Lonchura striata: one gene and its partners. The protein of the gene in region 3 binds, or shares a complex with, the protein of the main gene of each other region. Links are inferred from orthologs where the notes say so. Each region holds a gene or a part of one and is shown on either strand. Other genes may lie near its edges. The genes, in order: KLHL2, KLHL3 and WNK4.

What was found.
Region 1: the proteins of WNK4 (region 3) and KLHL2 are in contact, whole or in part, in a crystal structure (PDB 4CHB), measured with the Homo sapiens proteins. The link is inferred for Lonchura striata from reciprocal best matches to the Homo sapiens genes WNK4 and KLHL2. Residues at the interface, in NP_115763.2 of Homo sapiens: Glu557, Pro558, Glu559, Glu560, Pro561, Glu562, Ala563, Asp564, Gln565; in NP_009177.3 of Homo sapiens: Arg345, Phe361, Gly363, Ser364, Leu365, Arg366, Thr392, Phe408, Gly410, Ser411, Thr412, Gly413, Ser438, Ser439, Tyr455, Ser487, His504, Arg534, Tyr583.
Region 2: the proteins of WNK4 (region 3) and KLHL3 are in contact, whole or in part, in a crystal structure (PDB 4CH9), measured with the Homo sapiens proteins. The link is inferred for Lonchura striata from reciprocal best matches to the Homo sapiens genes WNK4 and KLHL3. Residues at the interface, in NP_115763.2 of Homo sapiens: Glu557, Pro558, Glu559, Glu560, Pro561, Glu562, Ala563, Asp564, Gln565; in NP_059111.2 of Homo sapiens: Arg339, Phe355, Gly357, Ser358, Leu359, Arg360, Thr386, Phe402, Gly404, Gly407, Ser432, Tyr449, Gly451, Ser481, His498, Arg528, Tyr577.

What each region holds. Positions count from the first base shown.
Region 1 is NC_134606.1:38,848,175-38,855,784, forward strand, and holds the start of KLHL2 (kelch-like protein 2), read right to left. Parts: upstream 3,025-7,610; 5' UTR 2,885-3,024; coding exon 2,862-2,884; intron 1-2,861. UniProt on the Homo sapiens protein: Substrate-specific adapter of a BCR (BTB-CUL3-RBX1) E3 ubiquitin ligase complex that mediates the ubiquitination of target proteins, such as NPTXR, WNK1, WNK3 and WNK4, leading most often to their proteasomal degradation.
Region 2 is NC_134617.1:7,838,168-7,845,189, reverse strand, and holds the start of KLHL3 (kelch-like protein 3), read right to left. Parts: upstream 3,077-7,022; 5' UTR 2,984-3,076; coding exon 2,970-2,983; intron 1-2,969. UniProt on the Homo sapiens protein: Substrate-specific adapter of a BCR (BTB-CUL3-RBX1) E3 ubiquitin ligase complex that acts as a regulator of ion transport in the distal nephron.
Region 3 is NC_134627.1:6,218,703-6,226,437, forward strand, and holds the start of WNK4 (serine/threonine-protein kinase WNK4), read right to left. Parts: upstream 3,004-7,735; 5' UTR 2,989-3,003; coding exon 2,536-2,988; intron 1-2,535. UniProt on the Homo sapiens protein: Serine/threonine-protein kinase component of the WNK4-SPAK/OSR1 kinase cascade, which acts as a key regulator of ion transport in the distal nephron and blood pressure.

The DNA of each region.
Region 1 (7,610 bases), on a different chromosome or scaffold from region 3:
AATCTCCAGTGATGTCACTTCTTATTTTGTTCACCTTCATCTTGGGGAGAAGATTTGCATTTGAAATTGCTTCTTTACTCCAAGCAATTTTAGTTTCCCTGTTACCAAAGGTGTAGAGGAATAGGTAGAATTCCTGTAGAAGTAGTAAGTTGGTGACTAATACTAGTGACATTGTGAGAGGCTAGCAATAATCTACACTACAGAAAACATGAAGATGTTTTCTGGTTTTGTGAATATTATCTTATTTAGTGGAGAAATAGTCTAGAATATTTCCAATAAGCTCTGAAGTGAGAGAAGAATTAAGAGTTTTGGGAACTTTTCTCCTAGTGCCCATATAGATCAATGGCAGACGCAGCAACCGTCACCCCAGCCTCTTCATGCCTTCACTGTCAGGTAAGAGCTCCTTTCTGCCCTTCTATCAGGACCTCAGTTACTGTTTCCTAGTTCTTCTCTGACAGGAAGACCACAAAATGACTACTGTAATTATCCAGGCTTTCCCTAGCCACAGCATAAGACACGGGTGACAGAAAAGTTGTGTACTTTTGTAAATGCACTCGATGTTTTGAAAACCATAATGTACATAAATGACCAGCCTCTTAATTTTTGTTACTCTCAAAACCCCACTCCAAACAGCAAGAGAAGAACTAGGCAGTGTGAAAAATCATTGCCTCTAGCTACAATTCATTCTTTCTGTAAGACATACCCCAAGTTCTACATACCCTAACTTCCCTAGAAAAATTACCATATACACTCCTCAGTCACTTGGACTGTCCAAACAGCAAGCAGGCCTTTCATGCCAAACCAAATCAATGAGTTTCCTGCTTACAGTCACAATGTTGTTCTTACAAAGCAAACTGTGTTGCTGTAGCACTTAGAAAATGCTTAGCATCAGTGATGCTTGATTCTACAGTATTTTAACTGTATTCCTGAACCTCTAAGCTGAAAATAAGCAAAGGCACTGAAAAGTCATTTGGTGGGGCCACAAGCCCTGGGACATCAACAATCTGACTGCAAATGAAAATTCAGCCTTGCCAGCATTAGGTAAGCACACTCAAACTGAACATATTCAGTGACTCACATAATTGCAACCTCTCTTCTACTATACCTGAAACTTTTTAATTGGGCATGTCTAATGAACTTAAAAAAAAAAATCCAACAATAATTTAAGATTTTAACCTAGAACTCTAAGTTCTGTGCACTGCAATAGTGCAAAGCCAAGTAGCTGACTTTATTTTTTATTATCCCAAAAGTAGCTACAAAATTTTGGAGCAAAGAAATACAAAATTGCATCAATTAACAAAGGAATGTAAAAAGTTTCCATAAAACTAACCAAATAACATCCAGCCACAGAACTCTAAGTACTATCAACTTACTACAGTGTATCATGAAACTGATATGAATCAAAAGTTCCATGTTCAATTTCGAAAAGTATACAATTAATTAATGAAAAAGGACAAATTACAGACAGGAATTCTGCATCCATCAAAAAAAACCCCACACAAGTTACATGCTATTCAGCACACACATATGCTACTTCACAGAGGTTAAAAAAAAAAAAAAAAAAAAATTACATTCTGTCTAGCAAACTCCTTTAGACCAAAGGTTACTTTTCTACATTATGTGACATATGTTGTGATCAGAATTCCAAAAAATTATAGACAGAAATCAATGACTGCAGAAAATATTCAGAACACCAAACACCTATAAGGAAGAGATCCAGCTTTTAATTATACCACCGATCTATCAAGTCCAAGATAGAACACTTTCATTGCAACTTTCTACATCCCAAAACAATGCATCAGCTACTGATGTCTATTTAGTTGCATACATATACAGGCTGTGTACACATCAAATACAGCTATGCAAGGAAAAAAAAGTGATCAAGTTGTCCATAAAGAGCTGCCAAGCACCCTGGATTAGATGGAGGAGTTCATATGAAGCGTAAATTAATTCACCGAATTCATTAGTTTGTCACAAAGGGTTACTTTGTTTTAAGGTAATGAACCCTACAAAACCATCAGTCATACTCCTTCTGTTTTGGGAAGTGCCAGTCTGCCTGAAGTACTGGGGTCTCTCTTACCATTTTGCCAGCTGGGTCAGAGCTGTCTGTAACTGGTTTCCTTCGGTTTGTTCTCAAGAACCTTAAGCACAGCACGCCTGAAATCCACCTACCGAAGGCAAAGGATGAAGTAGCACTGAACCGGAGCCTGTGAAAGGACTGGGGAGGCCAGCTGAGGTGCAGCTGGAGATGGCTGCCTGGAGTGCATCGCCTGGGCACTGCCACTAAAAGAGATGCTTAACTAAATAACCAGAAAACCGGGAGTGAGATAAGCACGACTGCTGAGTCAAACAAGGAATAATTTGGGACCGCATATGGAGGAAGCAGAAGGAGTGAGGGGGAGGAGGGAGAAAAAGCCCGCCTGTCCCCACAAGGTGGAAGGCACAGGGGAAGGCGGCGGGGCGGGGGTGCCGGCAGCGCAGCCCGCCCGCGGGAGCTCCGCGCCCGCTCCCCCGCCCGCGGCCGGCACCGCAGCGGCACAACCGGGCATCTCCGAGCGCCGGGCGGCCGCGCTGGCCGGGGCAGCTGGCCAGCCGGGCACCGGCTCCGCCATCAGGTCGCCGACACGACCCTCCCGCCGGCGCTGCCCCGCTGCCGGCTCCGAGCGTCCCCCATCCGCAGGCACCGCTCCCCACGATGGGGCCCGCCCGAGCTGCGAGCACCTCCGCTCGCTGCTGCGCCGCCGGGCCCGACCCGCCGCCCCAGCCCACGGACCGCACAGCTCCGCTCCGCGCCGCCGTCCCGGCGAGCTCCGGGCGCCCGGCTGCCTCCCCGCCCGCCCCGCCGCCGCCGCCGCACTCACACGGGCGGCAGCAGCATCTCCATCGCGGCTCCGCTCGGGCTTCCTCCGTGCAACGCGGGCGCGGCGAGCTGCCGCCAGCACCATGCCAGCTGCGCTGCCCCGCCGCTGGTGCGGGGAGCGGGGAGCGGCTGCGCCCGCCCGGCCGAGCCCCGCCGCCGCCGGGAGCCGCCGGCGCTGCGGCTTCCGGGTGCCCGCCCGCGGGAGGGCGCGGCGGGGACGGGCCGCCGTGCGCAGGCGCGGCGGCCGCGGGCCCGGCCCGGCCCGCGCGGGGTGCGCTGCGGTGGGGCCGGGGCTGCGGTGCGGCCGGGGCTGCGGAGCCCGCGGTGGGCTGGGGCCGCCCCGCCGGAGCCTTCCCCCTGGAGGGGGGACAGCCGCGGCCCAGGGGCTTTAGGAAGGGGGGTGAGACGCCGCTGCCCTTGCTGAAAGAAGCGTGGCCCCCAAGTGGGATGAGCCAGGGTCTAGCGCCCTGTGCGCGTCTCCCGCTTCCCGGGAAAGCGCTGGCTCAGGGCAGGCCGGAGAGACGCCCGGAGCCGCCCTGCGCAGCGACACGTCCCGCGGGCCGCTCGGGCCAGCGTGGCCTCAGCGCCGGCGAGGCTGGCTTGGGGCGCCGGCGTGGGGACACGCAGGTGCTCTGTCCCACCGGGGAAAAACAATTAAAGCAGTCCCAGGTCTCCTTAGTAAGAAAATCCACCAGCAGGGGCACTCCATGAGGAACATGGGCACCTTGGCAGGCCAGCCAAGGAGCTGGCCCGACACCAGGTCGTGCAGGTGGTTTCTGCTCGAGCAGGGGCCGAAGGGAAGAGCAGAACTGCGTCGGGACGGAGGAGTTGAGCAGGGTCTAGTTCGCTGTGACCTGCTGAATGTCGTAGTCTTTTATTTGATCGAGTCCAGCAGGAGCACTGCCGCTCAAAACACCTGGCCTCCTGTGTTTTGCAAACATTGCTAACGTTGATCATTAAGTACTTGAGTTGTGCTTCAGTGTTTGCTGAAGTAGCCTCTGTGATGCAAAATGGCAAAAAGGAAAATGAACAGGCATCTATTTCAAACCTGTTTCTGTAAACAACACTAATTGAAGTAATGATCAAGAATGCTACATTTAGCAACTTCTGACTTGGGGCACTAGAGAAGAATTTACTGTATTTAAACATCTGTAAATTGCTTCCAAATCTTTGAAGAATCAGGTAGTGGAAAGTGGATTTAGCAGGCTGAACACAATTCAGATATTTAAATCTGGTTATGTCTGTAAAATTAAAATGCTTCTTCACTGAGTAAAAGATTTTAAATTGGAATAGTATCTCTCAATGAATAAATCTAATAATAACTGATCAGCACTGTTTTTCTAAGAGTGAGATAAGTTTAGGGCAGCGTATTTCAAATAAGACACAAAACAAAATGGCAGGAGTGTTTTGGGTGAAGACTTACGGATGGATGCTGAAAGCCTTCACCATTGTTTCTAATAAAATCACTGGTTATTAAAACTAAATGTACTTTATTCTGTTATTTTCATTTTTGCTAATTTCCAGTAATATTCCTCACTAGGAAAATGCCATTTTTGTTTTCTCAGTTTACCAATCCTCTTTAACTACAGCAATGCTTGATTTGGGAACACTTCAACATTTTTTCAATGGGTTACCACTGGAGGTTTTTCTAAATTAAATAATCACAGTTGGCAGTGCCGGTTTTTATGAAGTCTGTGCTTTGTAACTACTGAATTTATCTCTTCTCAAGAGACAACTAAGTTTGCCTCTGGGTTGTATTGGAGAAGACAAGGTACTTGCTAAAGATTTAAATACACAACAAAACCTGCTTGCAGGGAAGTCTGCTCCAAAGGAGCCAGCCAGAAATAATGCTCTCTGAAATGGAGGTTTAAAATTCAGCTGGCTCCACGTAGCACAGCATGTCCAAGGTCTGAGTTCATAAGCAGATATGGCCTGCGTAGATCTGAGAGTGGATGATGACTGTCACATCACACTTTCAAATTTCTGTAATTTAGAGTAAACTCCTGGACACATCACTTCGTAAGACAAGGATCCCAGCTTCTACTGATCCATAAGACCTAAGTGAATTCTACTGTGGTGTGTTTAAGGGTCCATGGTAGACTATTGTAAACTTGTGAGCTGGTCTGGAAGCCGAGGGGCTTTGTACACTCTTTGCACAAGTAGGTGGGCAGCTGCAGATTGTGCAGATTCTGCTCCATGCTAACACTGCAGGACTGTTTAGCAATGTTATTGTTGTTGTTGTTTAACCCCAGTCAGGAGCCACACCCCAGGCAGCCACTTGCTTGCTCCCCCAACAGTAAGACTGGGGACAAAATCAGAAGGCTAAAAGGTAGAGAACTTATGGGTTGACATTAAGAGAGTTTAACAGGGAAAGCAGAAGCTGCACACACAAACAAAGCAAATAAAGGAATTAAATCACTGCTTCCCATGGGCAGGCAGGTGTTCAGCCATCCAGGAGAGCAGGGCCCTGTCATAAGGGTTATTGAGCAGACAAACACCATCCCTCCAAATATTCTCCCCTTCCTCCTCCTTCTCCCCACTTTGTATGCTGAGCATGATGTCACATGGTGTGGGAATGTCCTTTTGGTCAGTTGGGGCCACCTGTCCTGGCTGTGTCTCCTCCCAACCTCCCATGCACTGTCAACTTCCTCGCCAGCCTGGCTGTACAAAAGCAGAAATGGCCTTGGGTCTGTGTAAGACCTGCTTAGCAATAACAAAAACATCTCTGTGTTATCAACTCTGTTCAGCACAAATCCAAGACACAGGTCCATGCCAATCACTGTGAAGAAAATTAACTCTACCTCAACCAAAACCAGTACAAATATTTATTCTTAACATTAAACATTGCCAACCTGTGACTTCTCTCCTTTTCTTGCAGTATTGTTTTGGCTTCAGAGCCAAATGTTCAACATTAGTTCAGTTAATTTCTGTGATGCAGAGCATCAGAAAGAAACAAATAGGGCAAAGTTCAATTTTTTTTCCTGAAAATTATATCTTTGTAATTCAGTAATTTCAAGAGGAATCGAAGCAAAAACTGCTTCATCCAAAATACATTATGTGGTTATGGCAAAACAACTTATATCTCTAACCATGAGGAAACACATCCTTTAAATACAATGCCTAGATTTTTATGGGATTCTGCTTGATCCAATATCTCTTCTTAGAAAAGAACTTTCAGAGAAAAAACTTATTTATATATGTCTGTGGGTGTATGTATGTAGTTTTGAAAGGAAATGGGCTATATATCTTATCTCTGATGAAACAGCTGCCATTTTTGTTTATGCTGCAGCAATTCAAATTACTGCATTTACTGAGAAAATTCCCTGTCATGTTTCAGGCTGTCCCTGTAATAATTCTTAGTACTTTCCCACTTGTTTTAGTGAGTTACAAAGGAATGTGGCCAATGCTTACTTAGGATCACACATTCCTTCAGCTCTATTGACACTAGAAATACTTTACTGATACTGAAACTCCGACACTATCCATTAGTGAATTGCATCCAGTGAAAATGAAGTTATGCTAGCAGAGCTCTGCTTGCTAACAAGATAGTCCCACAAGTTCTATGGTCCTACAAATAGAATAACTAATCCTGGTAAAAGTCGATGTGACTGCATACATATGTGGTGGTTTATTAACATGTTTAAGTGATCATGCTCTATACTGATGTGTTAGAAGAAATCTGGTTTAGGTTTAGCCACAGAGGACACTGATATAGGTTCTTACTTATTTTTAATTGACAAATATAGGTTAGGAAGACATCTCCAAAAAAGGACAGAAAATAAGAACATTTGCTCTTGTTTAAGATATCAGAAGTCATAACTTCTGAAGGATTTGGGTAGAATGCTTATGAGGACATGCTGCTGATTCTTTTCATGAAAAGGGAAGAGGAAAGGAAGGACTCTAGAATCAAATACTTAAGTACCTCTCCATACTCCTGTGGCTTCAAACAGAAAAACAATGTGCTTCTTCACTTTGTTAGCTTTTAGATTATCCATTATATTTGTATCCTACTAAATTGAGTTGTGAGTAAATTATGTACAAAATCTATGTAAAGATAAGTATGCATTTATCCAAAATACATGAGGGCACACTCGCATTTTTTTCCCCAAGCATTTCACACTCAATAACATAATCATCCCGCAGCAGACCTTTATTCAGCCCAGGCCCCTCTATCTAAACAAATCCACAAGGACCTTTGTGGAATTCATGGTAGGACTTGAGTTCAACACAGACACTAGCTATTACTACTTTCTTTTGTCTTAAACACTAGTATTAATATCAGCATTAATCCAGCATTGCCTAATTTTAAAAGGCCTCACTCTAGTGGAAGAGATTCCTTTTTCTTGTTTCAGAAGCATGGAATATTTAAAATTTCAGAGAACCATCAAGCTAAGGACATCAATGCAGCTGAGAAGAATTACACTGAAAAGTAATATGGAAAGGAAATGCAAGGAAGCACATGCAGCAGACTGAGAAAGGGACCAGATTGCAGAGGAATATGTACTGGAGAGTAGGCAGAGAGAGAAAAAATAAAACATGTAAATTGGGATTGTGAAATAAGGAATAGCAAAGCAGATGCTATCAAAGAGAAATTGTACTGTGACCAAAATCAGTGAAATACAATTAAGCATGGATTAAAATATTTTGTCTTTTTTAGCATTTTTTTTCCTGTATGGAGTGCTGGAGCACTAAGAATGACACATACTTAATGAAAATAGCTGAAGGGATAAGATTCATTCTGTAAAATTCA
Region 2 (7,022 bases), on a different chromosome or scaffold from region 3:
CCCCAAATCACAGGACAAATGCATTATGGCCAATAGTTTTATTCCTTTAGTCAGGCAGACACAGTAAAGAAAACATGAAATGGCATAGTTATAAAAATCTCTATTTCTGAATTTGTCTTTAGGTACATACAAAGACATTAAAAAAAAAGTGATTGAAGGGATCCACATGTTGAACTGGGTTTTGGGAGGATTTCAGAGAAATGTATTATCATTAAAACATATGGGAGGCAGAGTAATGGAAAGGATTATTTTTCTTTTAATAGCAATATTATTTTCCTATTTTGTTGATTTTTTTTCAGTGCCTAGGTCAACATGGAGACATTAGCTTAGGAAAACACACAATTGGCATACAGCAGATCCCTAAAAGGGTTTTCATATCAAAGGAGACCTCAGGGGGAAAGAAGACTTTGGGAACTAGTGAGAAGAAAAGTCTTTGCTGACACTAATGGAAACAACATGAAATAACTCAAATATGACAATACTATTTGCTTTCAAAGACAAATATTGTATTTCTCAAACAGATACCACAGACTACCTTAGCTTGAATATAAAACCACAGGTGTTTTAATATTTTAACAAAAAAAAAAAAAAAAAAACATTCCAGAGGGTTTTTTTCTATTCAAACTCAAAAACATCTTGCAAATTCAGAACCAGAGTATCATGCCTAACTGTAAGCCTTATGCAATTTCTCCATAAAATAGAAGTACCGTCATTTTACTCTCAGCACAATAAAAGAAAAGCAGGACTCTGAAATACTTTAGTGCCACATGTGAATGTTTCAGGTTAAATCTCCCTTGCCCTCAGGTATTTCTGCTCATGTGCAATGCCACGGGCACATGATACCACTGAACATCCTGGGTGTGAAAGTTAACAGGATATTTGAGTCTGGGCAGGCTCGGGACCAGTCAGAGGTGAAGTGAGCACCAACAACACGGATCCTCACTGACCACAGAAATGGAAAGTGCAATAATATTAAAAACCAGGGGGAACTCTGCCATAAGGAAATCCACCAAGTATAAAATTTGAGGACCAATCTGCCCAACACAGATGTGAGTTGAAATGTGGGGCAAAAGCACAGCAACAAGCCCAGACCGAGTCCACGGTTTTGCTCACCCAGCAAAGTCATTTTCAAACACCTCCTCCCAGGACTTGCTCCCAGCAGCCAAAGCAGCCCCACACACACTGTGCCCTTTTGAACCAGAAAGCAGGTGAATATTTCCCACTTTTCTTGCCAAGAATCAAATCCCACATCATTACTGCCCACAATCAGTTCAGGACCACCTTCCTCTTCTCAAAAACTAGAAATGAAAGCAGGAACTTGGGTAATCATTCCTCGCTTCCAGAGGCAGAGAACATGCTGATGGGGATAGTCCTTCATGCCCTAAAAACAGATGGTCTGGAAAAAAAAGGGTAAGGTAAAACAGTCCAGGTATTTTTCAGTGGCTTTTTCACTGTTCTATCCACAGAAAAAGGCCTCCAATCAAAATAACACCATTGCTGGTAGGCATCAAAAAAAAAAGTAACAAACAACTGTGCCAAGGATGAGCCCAGTCTGGGGTATCAAAACAGCTCTGTTCTACTTCCTCAAACACAGGCTCATTTATACAAATAAAGAAAAAAAAAAAAAAAAGGAAATCCCATTCCATGAGCTGGCATCTAGAATTACAAACAAAGATTTCAAGGCACTTGAAATTAATTAATATTTGGATGAATGTTCAGAGGTGACTGTCCGCACCATTTTGGGAAGCAGAAGCCCTACAATGAGAAATGTGGCAGGATGAAAGGTTTTGCACATTAAATACACAAAAAATTGCAACCCTTGAGTCACAGAAGGGTAGAAAGCTGCCCTTTGGAGCTTGGAAAACAACTCCTACAGGCTGCTGTGAATGTTTTCCCTCAACAGAAGGAAGATTTCCAGAATTTGGGGGTTGACTCCAGCTTAATTTTCTAATGTATCATATTTAAACAAAACTCCTGTCAAGCCCTGATATTTAGTCTTACCAGCAGTCAAGCCCCCTCTCTGTTCCCCCACCCCCGGCAAGGTCACCAGCACAAAAGAAAGCACTCAGCATATCCTGTTCTTAAAAAATATTGTAAAAAAAACCCAGACCAGTTTAATGCTTAGTTTGAAGAAGCACAAGTAGCTTCTGGTGTGCAAAAGGCACCTGACAGAAGGGAGTAATGAGGGCAGAGGCAAAACACTGAACATCTCTCTGGCATCCACGAGGTCCCTGCGCAGAATAATATCTTTTATGGGTTCAGTGGACATTAGTAAACACTTCTTCACGCAGGCTGTGGAGCAAACCAGCTGCCTGGCAGCAATTGAAGCCTACGGGGCCCGGCTGCCGTGCGCGGGATGCCCTGCACTGCCCTGACACCGCACAGCGCCCGGCTTCCACACACGCCGGCAGGAAAACCGACCCCAAAGGATCCACGGACGATGTGGATTTTCACTCGTGACTCAGAAAAGCAGCGAATATCAGCGAGTCTGCCTTGAGCGGAATGCCGAAGTCGGCTGCCTGAGGCTCCAGGCGTAGGCAGGGCACTCACAAGCCCAGCACGTTGTGCCGGCGGGGCAGCTTCCCACCCCCTGCCCGGCATCCCACCCCTCTGTCCGGCATCCCACCCCCCTGCCCGGCATCCCACCCCTCTGTCCGGCATCCCACCCCCCTGCCCGGCACCTCCATTTCAGCGAGCACCCCCCGACCTGCCTCCCTCACGTCCTCAATCACATCCCAAACACATCCCACGGAAAGCCCTCCGGTGCCTCGCTGCGGGGCGAAGCCGCCTGTCACCATGACATTGCAACATCCACGAGCATTGCGGGCGCCCGTGGCAGGAGGCATTCCTGCCCGCAGCCGCGCCCCGCATTCCTGCGCACGGCCCCGCACGGCCGGCACCCCGGGGAAGGAAGGGCATCCCCATCCCGCACGCTCCGGGCGGACACAAAGGCTGGCGGCGGTACCCACCTCTCCTCCTCCATCGTGCGGGGCGGCGGCGGGGCCGGCTCAGCGCCCCGGGCCCGGCATGGCTGCGAGCGGCCGCCGCCGCTTCCTGCGGGAGCGGAGCGCTGCGTGCCGGCGCGCCCCGCCGCACCGACTGCCGCGGCCGCCGCGCAGCCCCCTCCTCTCCCCTCCTCTCCCCTCCCCTCCTCTCCCCGGCGGGGCTGGCGAGCGTCTCCGGGCAACGGCAGCACCGCCCCGCACCGCCCCGCACCGCCCCGCACCCGGCCCCGCTGCCGCGGCCAAATAGGTCAGGGCAGCCCCGGGCCGGGCCGGGCCAGCCCCGAGCGGGACCCGCCGGCCGCGGCACGGGCAGCGCCCGTCCCGCCGCCCGGGACTTGTCCCCGCGTGGCCCGAACGCTTCAGTCCCCGCCGTTTAGTGGCTGAACATCCCCGGTGCCGAGGTGAAGCCCCCGCACGGGGCACTGCAGGAGAGGAGAGGTGATGGTGAGGAAGGAGAGAGTCCCAGCCCTCTGAAAACTCCCCGCTCCCAATCAAGATCTTGCCCCCAATTCCTCAATTTATCAAAGCCTTGCTGTCCTTTATGCAGTCTATCAGGCCAAACACACCATGCATAGGCAATATGGGTCCCTCTCAACTGCAGGTGCTTTTTAGCCTAAAGCACTGAACTAAATTACATTTGTCATTTTTATTCCAATTGATACAGATGCACAGAGTTCTACAAAAATCTTTTTCCCCCCTCATTTTATTAAAAGATTTTTTCAGTTGTATTCTGCACCAGCGAGGCCTTAGAGGTTAATCATATTAAAGACAAGAAACACTTGCCTCCTTCATTACTCATCCATTCTCAAAATGTTCTTGTGCAAAAGGAAGAGATAACTAGAAGTATCAAGAGATTTCTCTTTGAAGATGCCATTTCATCTCTTTTGTAAATAAAATTACCTCACTCTTGTATATTTCTCCTCAAGCCATGTCCTCAGCCCAAGTTTTATATATCTTTTCAAAACCTATCAGCAATGATGATTGAACAGACGCTATTGTGCCTTCCACAGGAGGGTTTCAAAAGCTTGTTGAAAATCTTAACTACTCATCACCCAATTCTTCAGGTAAGAAAACTTAATAGACAACGTACCTGAAACTTAAAGGACTTTATCAAAGACACATGGGGATTGAGAGTCCTGCTATTTAAACTCCATTTGGCAGCCTACCCATAAACAAAAGAAATACAGATAAAGCCATGAAATCAAACCTCACAAAGAATTCAGGTAAAATTCCTTCATTTTCCCTAGAAAATACTGTTAAACTCTCAGTTTAAAACATGCATATCCTCGAGTACTTTCCCCATGTCCACTCTTACACTGTTGATGCACAACGTGCAAAACTGCAAGACACAAGTTCAAACCAGAGAAAAAGGAACTATATAAAATTAGTAGAATTTACCTCGGAAATGAGGGCTAGAGCTTGTTTCCTCTGAGTAAATCCCTCAGTAATTGTTAAAAGTCCAGATACAAAAGCAAGTCCTGAAACTGAGCTGCAAAGTCCCTGTGTATTTTTATTAACACAAAGTTTTTAAATAACAAAATATTAGGTTTTCACCTTAAAAATTTACATCTCACTCCAGTCAACCTGAGAGCTAAGCACCTAAATTGAATCAAACCAGCAATACCTTCTCATATGCTTTGCCCCACAGGCTTGTGTACCACTGAATTCTACAAATCCTGAAAGGTACAGTGACAGACAAGCAAAACAGTGAATAATCCTTGCTGGAGTGGGACAAAAGCATGTTCCAGTAGTCAGAGATTATCTTTACAGCAGCCTTGCAAAATAATAATGACTTGGTAACAATTCCAAGACAAAAACTTCTTGTTTGTTTTGAAGTACAAAGATTGGTATCTCGATAAAGCATTCAGCTAAATGGAATTAGTGACACCTGATGGGTGGAATTTTTCCAGCCTCTTTCAACAATTCCTAGTCTCAAGTAGTCAAAAATTACTCCTACATCTAATCTACCTTCCATCACTGAAAACCATATAACCAGTTCTCAGAGGAGAAAGGTCCCCAAAACACCTGTTCCAGCCAGTCCCACCATCCCTCAGCCCATCAAAACCTTTCCAGATTCCTGTGACAATTTTCAGATCTACAGCGAAAGACCAAAACCCCAATTCCAAGGAGCCACAGGGAGATGGGAGAGAAAAGCATTGCCAATGTCTCCACAGCAGTAAGGAATTTCTTCAATAAAAGTGGCATGAAGGGAGGGAATAAAAACAATCCCTACCAGTCTGGTCCAAAACTCTCTCCTGGCCCAAAATCCAGCAGCTGGTTTAATGCTGAGGTTATAAGGAAAGGACACCAAATGCTTACGAAAATTTAATTTTGTGAAGAGCCCCAGTACAGTCAGACAGCACCTTGTCAATGTCCACAGCCTCTGCAGAAGCCTGAAAGGTCACTTTGCCTCCCAAAAACCCAGCAGAAAGCAAATGGCATCAAATTGGGAAAAATCCTTCCTAGTTCTGCAAGGCAAACTGCAAGAGCTGTGAATCACTGGATCATCCAGCCTGGATACAGTGCAAGCAGTTCAGGAACACTTCACTCCCCTGTACATACCTGTTTCCAGGTATATACCAATGTTCAGGCTCCAGAGACCCATATCAAGCCATTTCCTATCTTTAGCAGCTCTCCTGCTTAGTTGCATAATATCTTTCACTAAATTATTCATTAACTTTCTTCAAAAATCTATGCTTTCAGCACTGAAGAGCTGGGAAAGGTGTAAATAAAACACTGTATTCACAGAAGCTTCTAAAGCTGCATCTTCACAGCCTAAATTATTTTTCATTCTGTTTTTTTTTAGAGATACAGATATTTAGATAAAAATATATGTTGATATATATAAACATATTTATTTTTTTCAATGCATATATTAGGCATATATATTTATCTTTGAGTGACCAAACTGATCTCACCCTGAAGCTGGTCCTGCTTTGAGGGTTCTTTGGACTAGATCATCTCCAGGAGTCCCTTCTAAATAAACTCCTTTTGTCATCCTAATTAAGTAGATACTCATTTAGATAGATCGGTATTTAGACCATATGATTTCTTGGAAAAGGTTCTGTAAGGATATTAAGATAAGAAAAGTAATATATAGGGTTATCTGCTGGAATAGTTGCCCTGGTAGCTCCCAGGCCAATTGCAGTCACTTGGTACTCAGGTACTGGCTCCCAAGGGGCCTGGAGATGGAGGTGCCTCAGCCGAGGAGTCCTGAGGGTATCTGCTGCCCAGCTGCTGCTAGAACTCAGTAACAAAACCAGACCAGCAGCTACAATTCACCTGCTGCAGCAGCTCCCAGGAATCCAAGTTCTCACAAGACTCAAAAGGATGCTCTGGGAGACCTCCCAGGTAAGGACCTTCCCAGGGCTGGAAGCAGGGCTGTTCTGGCAGCTGCAGCAGTCAGAGACTCGCACTGGAGCGCTGGTTTCTAAAGCAGCTGATTGTAGAGCAGGGGCTGGAGCAGCCAGGCCAGCATTCCCCCCGGGACGTGCATTCCGGCGGAGATGCTGCAGGAGCCACCAGCCTCTCCCGCGGCGCTCCGGGCTGTTGCCCTCTGCTGGCACACATCCCACTGCCGTGCTCCAGCTTCAGAACACTGTCTTCCTTTAGTCTTTTGTATAAATCACGATTCCTACAAAGAGCGGGATTATTGCAACAATTCATAACAACATTACCACCTTTAGGGCAACGACCCCTGACCATCTTCACCCCCATCTATGATTTCTGGGGCATGAGCCATTCCACTGCTCACCTACACAGCAGTCACCCACCAGCTGAAAATGCTCTTCCTGCTGCTCTCCTGACTCCTTCCTGGAGCATCAGTCACCTATGTCAGAGGCACACACTTCCTGCCCTGCAGTCATATTTATCAGAAATCTGCAGGAAGATTTTCAGATTGATTTTATTGTTTAGTGCTCAATGTGAAAAGAAAATCAGGAAGAAAGCTGTAAAAACAACTCTTGTGGGCACTGGAACAAAGGCCAGTATTCAGTTGACTAAATGCTACCAAGTTTC
Region 3 (7,735 bases):
TCCCTGCTTCCTCTTTCCCCACCGCCCGCAGCACCTAGGACAGAAATAGTGCCAGGCTAAAGCTGGAAAGCACAAACAGTGGGGCTGTGCACACGGGCGGGAGGGACAGACAGACGCTGCCTTCAGGACAGGGGACAGGGATGGGCAGGTCCCCCGAGGGGTCTCACAAGACAGGCAAAACCAACCTCTGCCTCCCGAGCTCTGAGGAGGGAAGGTCAGGGCAAGGACAGCAGGGAGAGCTGGGGTTGGGGACTGGGATCCATCACAGCACTGAACCAGGTTCTCTGGTGCAGAACAGGTCAGGCCTGAGGTTAAGTACTCATTTGGAATTGAAAGGTAATAGAAGGAGAACTGTGAAGTGCACACGACAAAGCTATTTTTAAAATAGCAGAACCACAACCATTTTTATTTGTGGTTCCAAATCCCGTATTTGTGTCACAGTGTCCAATTTTTGCACGATTGCAGAAAAAAAACAAACTTCTAAATGTCTGCATCTGTGCTCTTAGCCCCTTGTGGGACACAGATTTGGGTACAAGAGACAGTGGATAAAGAGCAGTCAGTGGAATTCAGCCAAACACTGGGTGGGGAGGGCAGGGGCAGGCACGGGTGGGAGCAGGGATGTGACTGCACTCCCGTGGGAGGGTGCAGGACCAGAGGGGTCAGGTCTGCACCCAGCACTATGGGATGCTCACAGGAGGGTCCCTGGCAGGAGCTCAGCCTGCACCCCAGCCTCTCCACAGCCACCCCCAGGGGACAAGTGAGTGGTTCTGCCACTCCTGCCTGGCTGGCTCGCAGGACCAGCAACGGGCCCAGCCTGTGCCTGCTGGACTGGAGCACTGGACTGGAACACGGAAGCATTTTGCTTCCCAGCTCCCTTTTCCCTTCCACCTGAGTGGTGCAGGCTCATCCCCTTGGCAGCCCCTCCAAGACAGCAGCACTGCCTGCAGGGAGGAGCAGGAACAAGACCTGCTGCCAGCCCTGCCAGCTGTGTGCCAGCCCCAGGGCAGGGGAGCTGGGCCACGGCTGGGCCATGGGGCTGAGACCCACAGGGAGGGACACGGAGCCAGCTGATGGGAAGTGCTGGGCACAACTGACTCATCCAGGGAGGAAGGTCCTGAGTTCACCAAGGAGAGCCTGTTCCAGTCAGTGGTTGCCACCTGAAGGGATGTAGGACTCAAGAGAGCTCAGGGGCCTTTGGACAGAGCTGTGAGGCTTTGTGAGAACTGAGCTGGCTCTGAACTGAACTCTCAACAACAGGAGCAATTGTGGAATCCATGGGGGTGAGGGGCAAATCTTCACCTTCCTCACTACGAGGCCATAGTCAGCCCTCTAAAAACCACCCACCAGTCTCTCAGGATCTCTTCTTGCTCTGCTGGGCTGCAGCCACTCCAAGGACCCAGCCCTGGCAGCCACCTGCAATTGCACTGAGCTTTTAGGAACAAGACAACAAACTCGAAAGACACGTTTTTCTGTGTCAACAAGGACTTGGACCTTCCCACCACAGCAGCCATCCCAGGCTCAGGAGCCTGAGGGAGACTTTGGACTTCACCAAAACCCCTCCCCGGGTGCTCCAAGGAGAAAAGGCAGCCCCACAGCACAGATCTCCCTGTGCACCTCCATGGACAAGATCAGGCCCATCAAAAGCACTTGAGTGAGCAAAGGCATTGTGGAGGCAACACTATCACCACTGCTCTCAGCATGCTGCTGTCAGGCTGCAGGACAGCCAAGGAGATGGAGGAGTGTGGCAGCAGAGAGGAGAACAGGGATGCTCCTCAGAGACCTGGAACCACAGGTCCAGCTCTTCCAGTATCCTGCCATCCCCTGGCAACATCACAGAAACCACTCACAGGTGGCCATGTACACGACTTCAGCCAAGGTCAAGCAGGCAGAAAGCACCAAGGTCGTGTTGTACCCTGTTCCCAGCTGACAGCCAGCCCCAGCTCGCTGCCCCAGGGCACACCAAGGGCTATCGGAGCAAACCTTGGAGGCAGCTCCAGCACAAGCACAGGCAGGCATGCAGAGAGGGCACTGCTGCCCTCGCTGTCCTCCTGGAGGGAAAGCTGCGAGCTGCTGAGCATCGGAAAGACAGTGGGATGGATGCTCAGCCCCAGATCCACCTGTTAAGTGCCAGAGCAGGGACTGGCATCAAGAACGTGGGCACATGCTCCATAGTGCAGGCAGCAAGAAAGCAAATGGAAAACAGCACGTGATGGGCAGGAGGGCCAGGAGCGGCGGCACTAAGCAGGCAGGAGTCTGCGTGCGGGCCAGCAGACCCACGAAGCACCGAGGCACGGGCAGTGATGGGCACAGCGCAGGGCAGAAGCAGAGGCTCGAGGGTGCCCGCCCTCGCCGGTACAGGCTCCAGCCCGGGAAGCGCCCCGCGGGTCCCACACAGCAGCAGGGTCAGGGCCGGGGAGGGCTGCACATGGAAACTGGACAGAAGAGGGTCCAGGTGCCTCTCTCCAGCCCCTTGCCCCGGGGCGGGGGTCTGTGGGTGCGGGCAGACAGGGGCGGAGGCGCTGGCAGGGGCCGTACCTGCAGCTCGCACCAGGCCACCTCCACGGTGGTCTCCGTGTCCAGCCCCTTGTAGACGGTCTTGAAGGAGCCGCGGCCGATCTCGATGTCGAACTTGAGGAACCGGCCGTCGGGGGAGGTGGCGACCGCCCGCGTCTCCACCTCCTCGCTCTCCGTCTCCTCGGGTTCCCGGAGCCCGGCAGCGGCCGGCGGCGGCGGCGGCGACCCCCCGCGCTCCCCGTCCGGCGCCGGGTACCCCAGCAGCTCCAGCTCGGCCGAGCTCCGCCGGTTGAAGCGGGAGGAAGCACGTCGGGAATCGCGCCCCGAGGACCGCCGGCTGCGGTTACGGTGCGGGGCCCGTCCGGTGAGCCCCGGAGCCGGCTCCGGCTCCGGCTGCGGCGCGGAGCCGCTGTCCGCCCGCTCCGCCTCGGGATGGGACATGGCTCCGGCAGCGGCGGGCTCGGCCGCCAGCATCGGCTCCGGCCCGGTGGGAGCGGCCGCTCCCGCGCAGCTTCGCACCCGTGGCCTCCGACACCCCGCAGCCAGCAGCGACCGCCGAGACCCGCTCCGGGCACCGGCCCCGGCACCGCCGCCGCCCCGCCCGGCGGCACCGCCCCCGCCCCGCCCGGGTCCGCCCCCGAGCGACCGCCGCCCCCCGCCCGCGCTGCGCCACCGGCCCCGCGCCGGGCAGGGGCACCGCACCGGCACCGCACCGGGCACGGCCCCGGGACGGCGCCCAGCTGCAGCTGCGGACACGGGCTGCGAGCGGGGCCCCGCGCCCCGGCACCGCTCCCGAGCACCCGGGATGTCCCCTCCCAGCCGGGGGTCACCGCCTGGCGCCCACCGGGTCCGCGCTGTCCCCGGGGCTCCTCGCAGTCCCCTCCCCGCAGGACAGCCCCGTCCCTGCCGCCGCCCCCGCGGGGCTCCGGGGCTGCTGTGACTAACGCAGGAATGTCCCCGGTTCAGACATTTCCTCGGAGTTTCTGAGCCTGGACCCGGAGCAGCGTGTGCTGGAGCAGCGGAGAGCCGCTGCCGGGACGCCGGTTCCCCCCCAGACAATCCCGCTCGGGTTCACTGCGGTCCGAAATCCTGAAATTAGGGTCACGCAAATAGGAAGAGTCGAAGGTGTGTGTCAGCCCCGCGGGAGCCAACAGCCGGACAAGAGCGTGTTGTCTCTCCAGGCTGAAGGAGAAGGTTGTTCTGCCGGTGAGGCTGTTTACATAAAACACAAAGCAATTGAGGCCACCGCAGATTTCTTTTCCCTGAGGCCAGATTGTTTCTACTCAACGATACCGGAAACATTAAGGAGTGGATCGAAAAGGGAACGCAGTCGTGGTCTCCCAAACGCCAAGCTGGCACCCGCAGGGTGATGCCGGGTGACTGCGGTCAGCAGCTCGGCTGTGGCCACGTCCCGCACGGCTGCTCCCCACAAATCCCCGCTGGGGCGGGGACAAGAGGGAGGGACAAGTATTTAATGAAATGTTCCTGGCCGACCTGCGTCTCGCTGATCTCTGCTCTGCTAACCCCACCCGACCCACCTCCTCCTGCCCCAGGAGACAGGTACCTCCTTCCCAACAAGGAGTTTGATCGATGCCACCCTGCCAAGAGCTGCTGGAGCAGAACTGGCCGGAGAGCAGGGAGCAGCAACCACATCCCGACTCAGCCCTGCACTCCTTGGAGCATGTCAGGGGCTTGGTCCCAGGTGAAGAAGCAGCGCTGGCAGAACACCGTGTCCAGCCCCTGCAGGGCTGTGCCTGCTGCTGGGGCACCGGGAGCCCGTGGCCACTGGAGCCAAAAAGCCAAGACTGAGAGGCCACAGGTGCAGTGCTTGCACTGGCCCTGCCATGGGTGACTCTTGGGTTGTAAGATGCAACATGGCTTGGCTCAGCTCTGTTAAACAATGCTCTTTGTTCAGGTGAGCCTTACCCAGAACCTTCTGAGCATGGCCAGACAGTGGGGCAAGCTGCTCGAGGCCCTCTTGGTTGACTCTGGCTGCCCCCACACAGAGGTCCCTGCCAGGGCCCATGCACTGCTCAGGCTGGCAGGGAGCCCTGCTTCTCCAACAGGAGACACAGAGCCAGGCAGGGACCTCAGTTTGTCCCCGGCAGGCTCATATCTCCTTATCAAGGGTTTCCATCGTGAAACAAAATGCCTTGGAAGATCCCAGAGGAGCAGGGGAGTATCCCGGTCCAGTGAGGCCCCTGCAGACAGGGGAGGAAATTAGGGGAGAAGTTTGCTCCAAGTGCTCCCCTCCCACACCTCCCTTGTGAGTGGTCTGAGAAATTCCCTAAATGATCTCTCCAAATGCCACTCCACACCAGAAGTTGGTAGAGAGGTGGCAGCTCGGGCAGGGGAACAGATCCTCTCCTGACCTGGCCAGGAACACCAATCTGCAGCCAGCTTGGCCTGAAACCAGAAGGCTCCTGTTCCACAATCAGGCGCCCACTGCAGCTCCCCAGCATTATCAGGGTGACATTTCTGGGCTGCAGGTGCCAGTGCCAGGCTTCACTTTGAGGAACCGCCACAATCAGGGAACATAACCCATTTCTCGCCTACATTTGGCTGCCAGGAGTACAAGGCACTGTGTAATCACCCTCCTCAGAATTAGATCATGAATCAAAGCCCTGCTCAGCTCCAGGCTCCGCCAAGCCCTGCCAGGAATTGTCCATTCTGACCCCAGAGCTTGGGGCAGGATCACAGAGGGGCCAGGATGGGTCTGGACAAAGGGGATGCACAGCTGGGGCTGCAGAGCACAGGGTGCCTGTCCTGGGATGCTCCAGGGACACCCAGGGCTTATTTCACTGTTACCTTCACCACCCCATACCCACGGGACCTTCTCTCTCTCACTCTAACTCATGTGAGTTCAGGGAGGCAGCGATGGCACTGAAACCTCAGCTGTGGCTGTAACCCTGGGCAGATCACTGCAGAGGATTTCCTCAGCCCAGAGGCACAGATGGGACCTGCCTGCACGTTTTTCCCAACATATAAAGTTATCAAACTGAAACAGTTCCTGCTCCTAAGCAGCTGCATTAAAGAAAATCTTTCTCAGAATCTTTCCTCCTTGACCAGTGGGATCTGAGTGTGCCCAGCCTGATAGTGCCTTATCTTGGCACCAGCCCCTCTGAGCTCTGCCTCACCCTGGCCAGCGAGCCCTAATCACCGTGGCCAGATGTGGCAAGGGCCTCTGAGGGGCCACAGGCTGGAGGGGGGGGTTGTACTAGCCACCCCCACCCCCCCAAAACCACCCTGAGCCACCTCCTCCAGCGAGCCCCTCCCCAGGGCTGTGTGGCTGGGCTGGACAGCACTTCACAGAGGGACATCTGCTCCCTCCAGGCTGGCAGCAGCTCTGCCACTCTCAGGACCCATCCCACGGCCTCAGCAGGGACACCCTGGCCTCAGCAGGGACACCCTGGCCTCAGCAGGGACACCTCTCTGCAGCAGCCCTGCCCAGCCCAGGGAAGCTGATCCCACAGGTCCTCACAGGCATGGCTGGATGTGGCCTCTGGTAACCAGAGCAGAGGGTGTGGAAAAGGAATTTTATACAATGTCCACTCTGGAAAGGGGACGTACTCTTCCTCCTCCTTCTCCCCCCCCCCAACTAAGTAAGCAACTAAATAGGAAGCTGAAAAAGAGACGGGAATTGCTGCCAGGAGTGCCTTGGAATGAAAAGCTGGTTTTAGGCTTATCTAATGTCACATCAGCCATTTCCTAAGAAGGGAGCAAATTTAATTAAGAACACAGACTCCCTCAAGGACAGCCAGGTTACATACAGCACTCCCAGCCTGGAACACAGTGCTGGGAGGTCAGCATCGTGCACACAGGCAGTGAGAACAGACACTCCAGCCCGGCTGCTGAAGGATCATTGTTTGGGATCAAAGGCAGACACCTTCAGGCACAGCACCCTGGCTCCCTGCAGGGCTACAGGAGCAGCCAGGGAGGGAAGGGGCAATGCAGGTGGCATGGGGAGGAAAGCAGAGGCAGATCTTGGACATGGAAACAAACCCAGGGCAGACACTGGGAGCACATGAATCCTACACAGAGACTTTGGTGGCTGCAGACAGAGAGGATGATCCCTGATCAAGCAGAGGCTGTGCCAGTTTTGTGGGGACAGATGCACTGCAGGGCTCATGGCACAGCCTCTGCTGCTGGGTTTGCTCAGAACCCTCAGTGGCAGGACCATGACAGAGCTCCCAGGGGTGATGGTCCTCAGAAAGGAGACCCCACCAGCCCATCATGTCAGTGACTCAGGAGCATTGCTGGTGCCTTTGTTCAGCACAGAAGTGCTGGCACTCAGGAATTCCCCCACAGCACTGCTGAGCCTGGCATGGAGAGGAAGCCTGGGCTCCTGCCACAGTTCCAGAGCAATGTGCCCACACCAGGGCAGCACATCCCACCAAGTGTACAGGTCAACGGGCTCCTGCTACAGAACAAATTTTCACATTTCACAGCCCCTAGACTCCAGCATCTCACCTACACTGAGAATTCCCCCATGCTGACATCAGCTGTCAGGAGCAGGTGAGCCAGTGCCAGGTTGCCCCAAGGGCAGGGAATGCCAGACAGGGGCAGCCTGTGGCGTGCAAGTGCCATCTGCTCTGCTGGACCCCCAGACTGACCACACTGGTCTGACCTGAGGTCACTCCAGCCTGCCCCCAACCTCTGCCAGTGACATACAGACAACGATCAGGGAAAGGTGACCCTGCCCCAGCACAGCCATCTGCTTCCCCAGGGCTGACAGGGTCAGCAACTGCACCTGGCCACAGCTTCTGACAAGTTGGGGACTTTGTTATCAGCACTGAGAGCCTAAAGCTCTCCGAGCCACAGTGGTACAGAGCTTACCCCATCACCTCTGCACAAACCCAGGGGCTTCCAGCAGGCTGCACATGCAAATTTAAAGTAAATGTTGTCCTGAGAAGGGCAGCAAGGGTCCCCTTCTCCTTTATTCTTGTGGTGTTTCCCACCCTGGAACCACTGCATTTCCCTGGGGCAGCAAGGAAATATGACTGAAGGACAAAAATCTGGTACGCTGCTCTGTTTTGTCTCTGATGGAAAAATAAAGATAGATGAAAACAGCCAGGCTGCTCTATAAATACATCTCATTTTAATCACCTGAAATTAGTTCCCTGGCTTCCCCCAGCCTGCTTGGCAGCAAGTGCATTTCCTTCTGCCACTGAGGGCTTCCACAGCGTAGCAGTAATGGCCCGTGCCCTGCTCCTGCCTCATC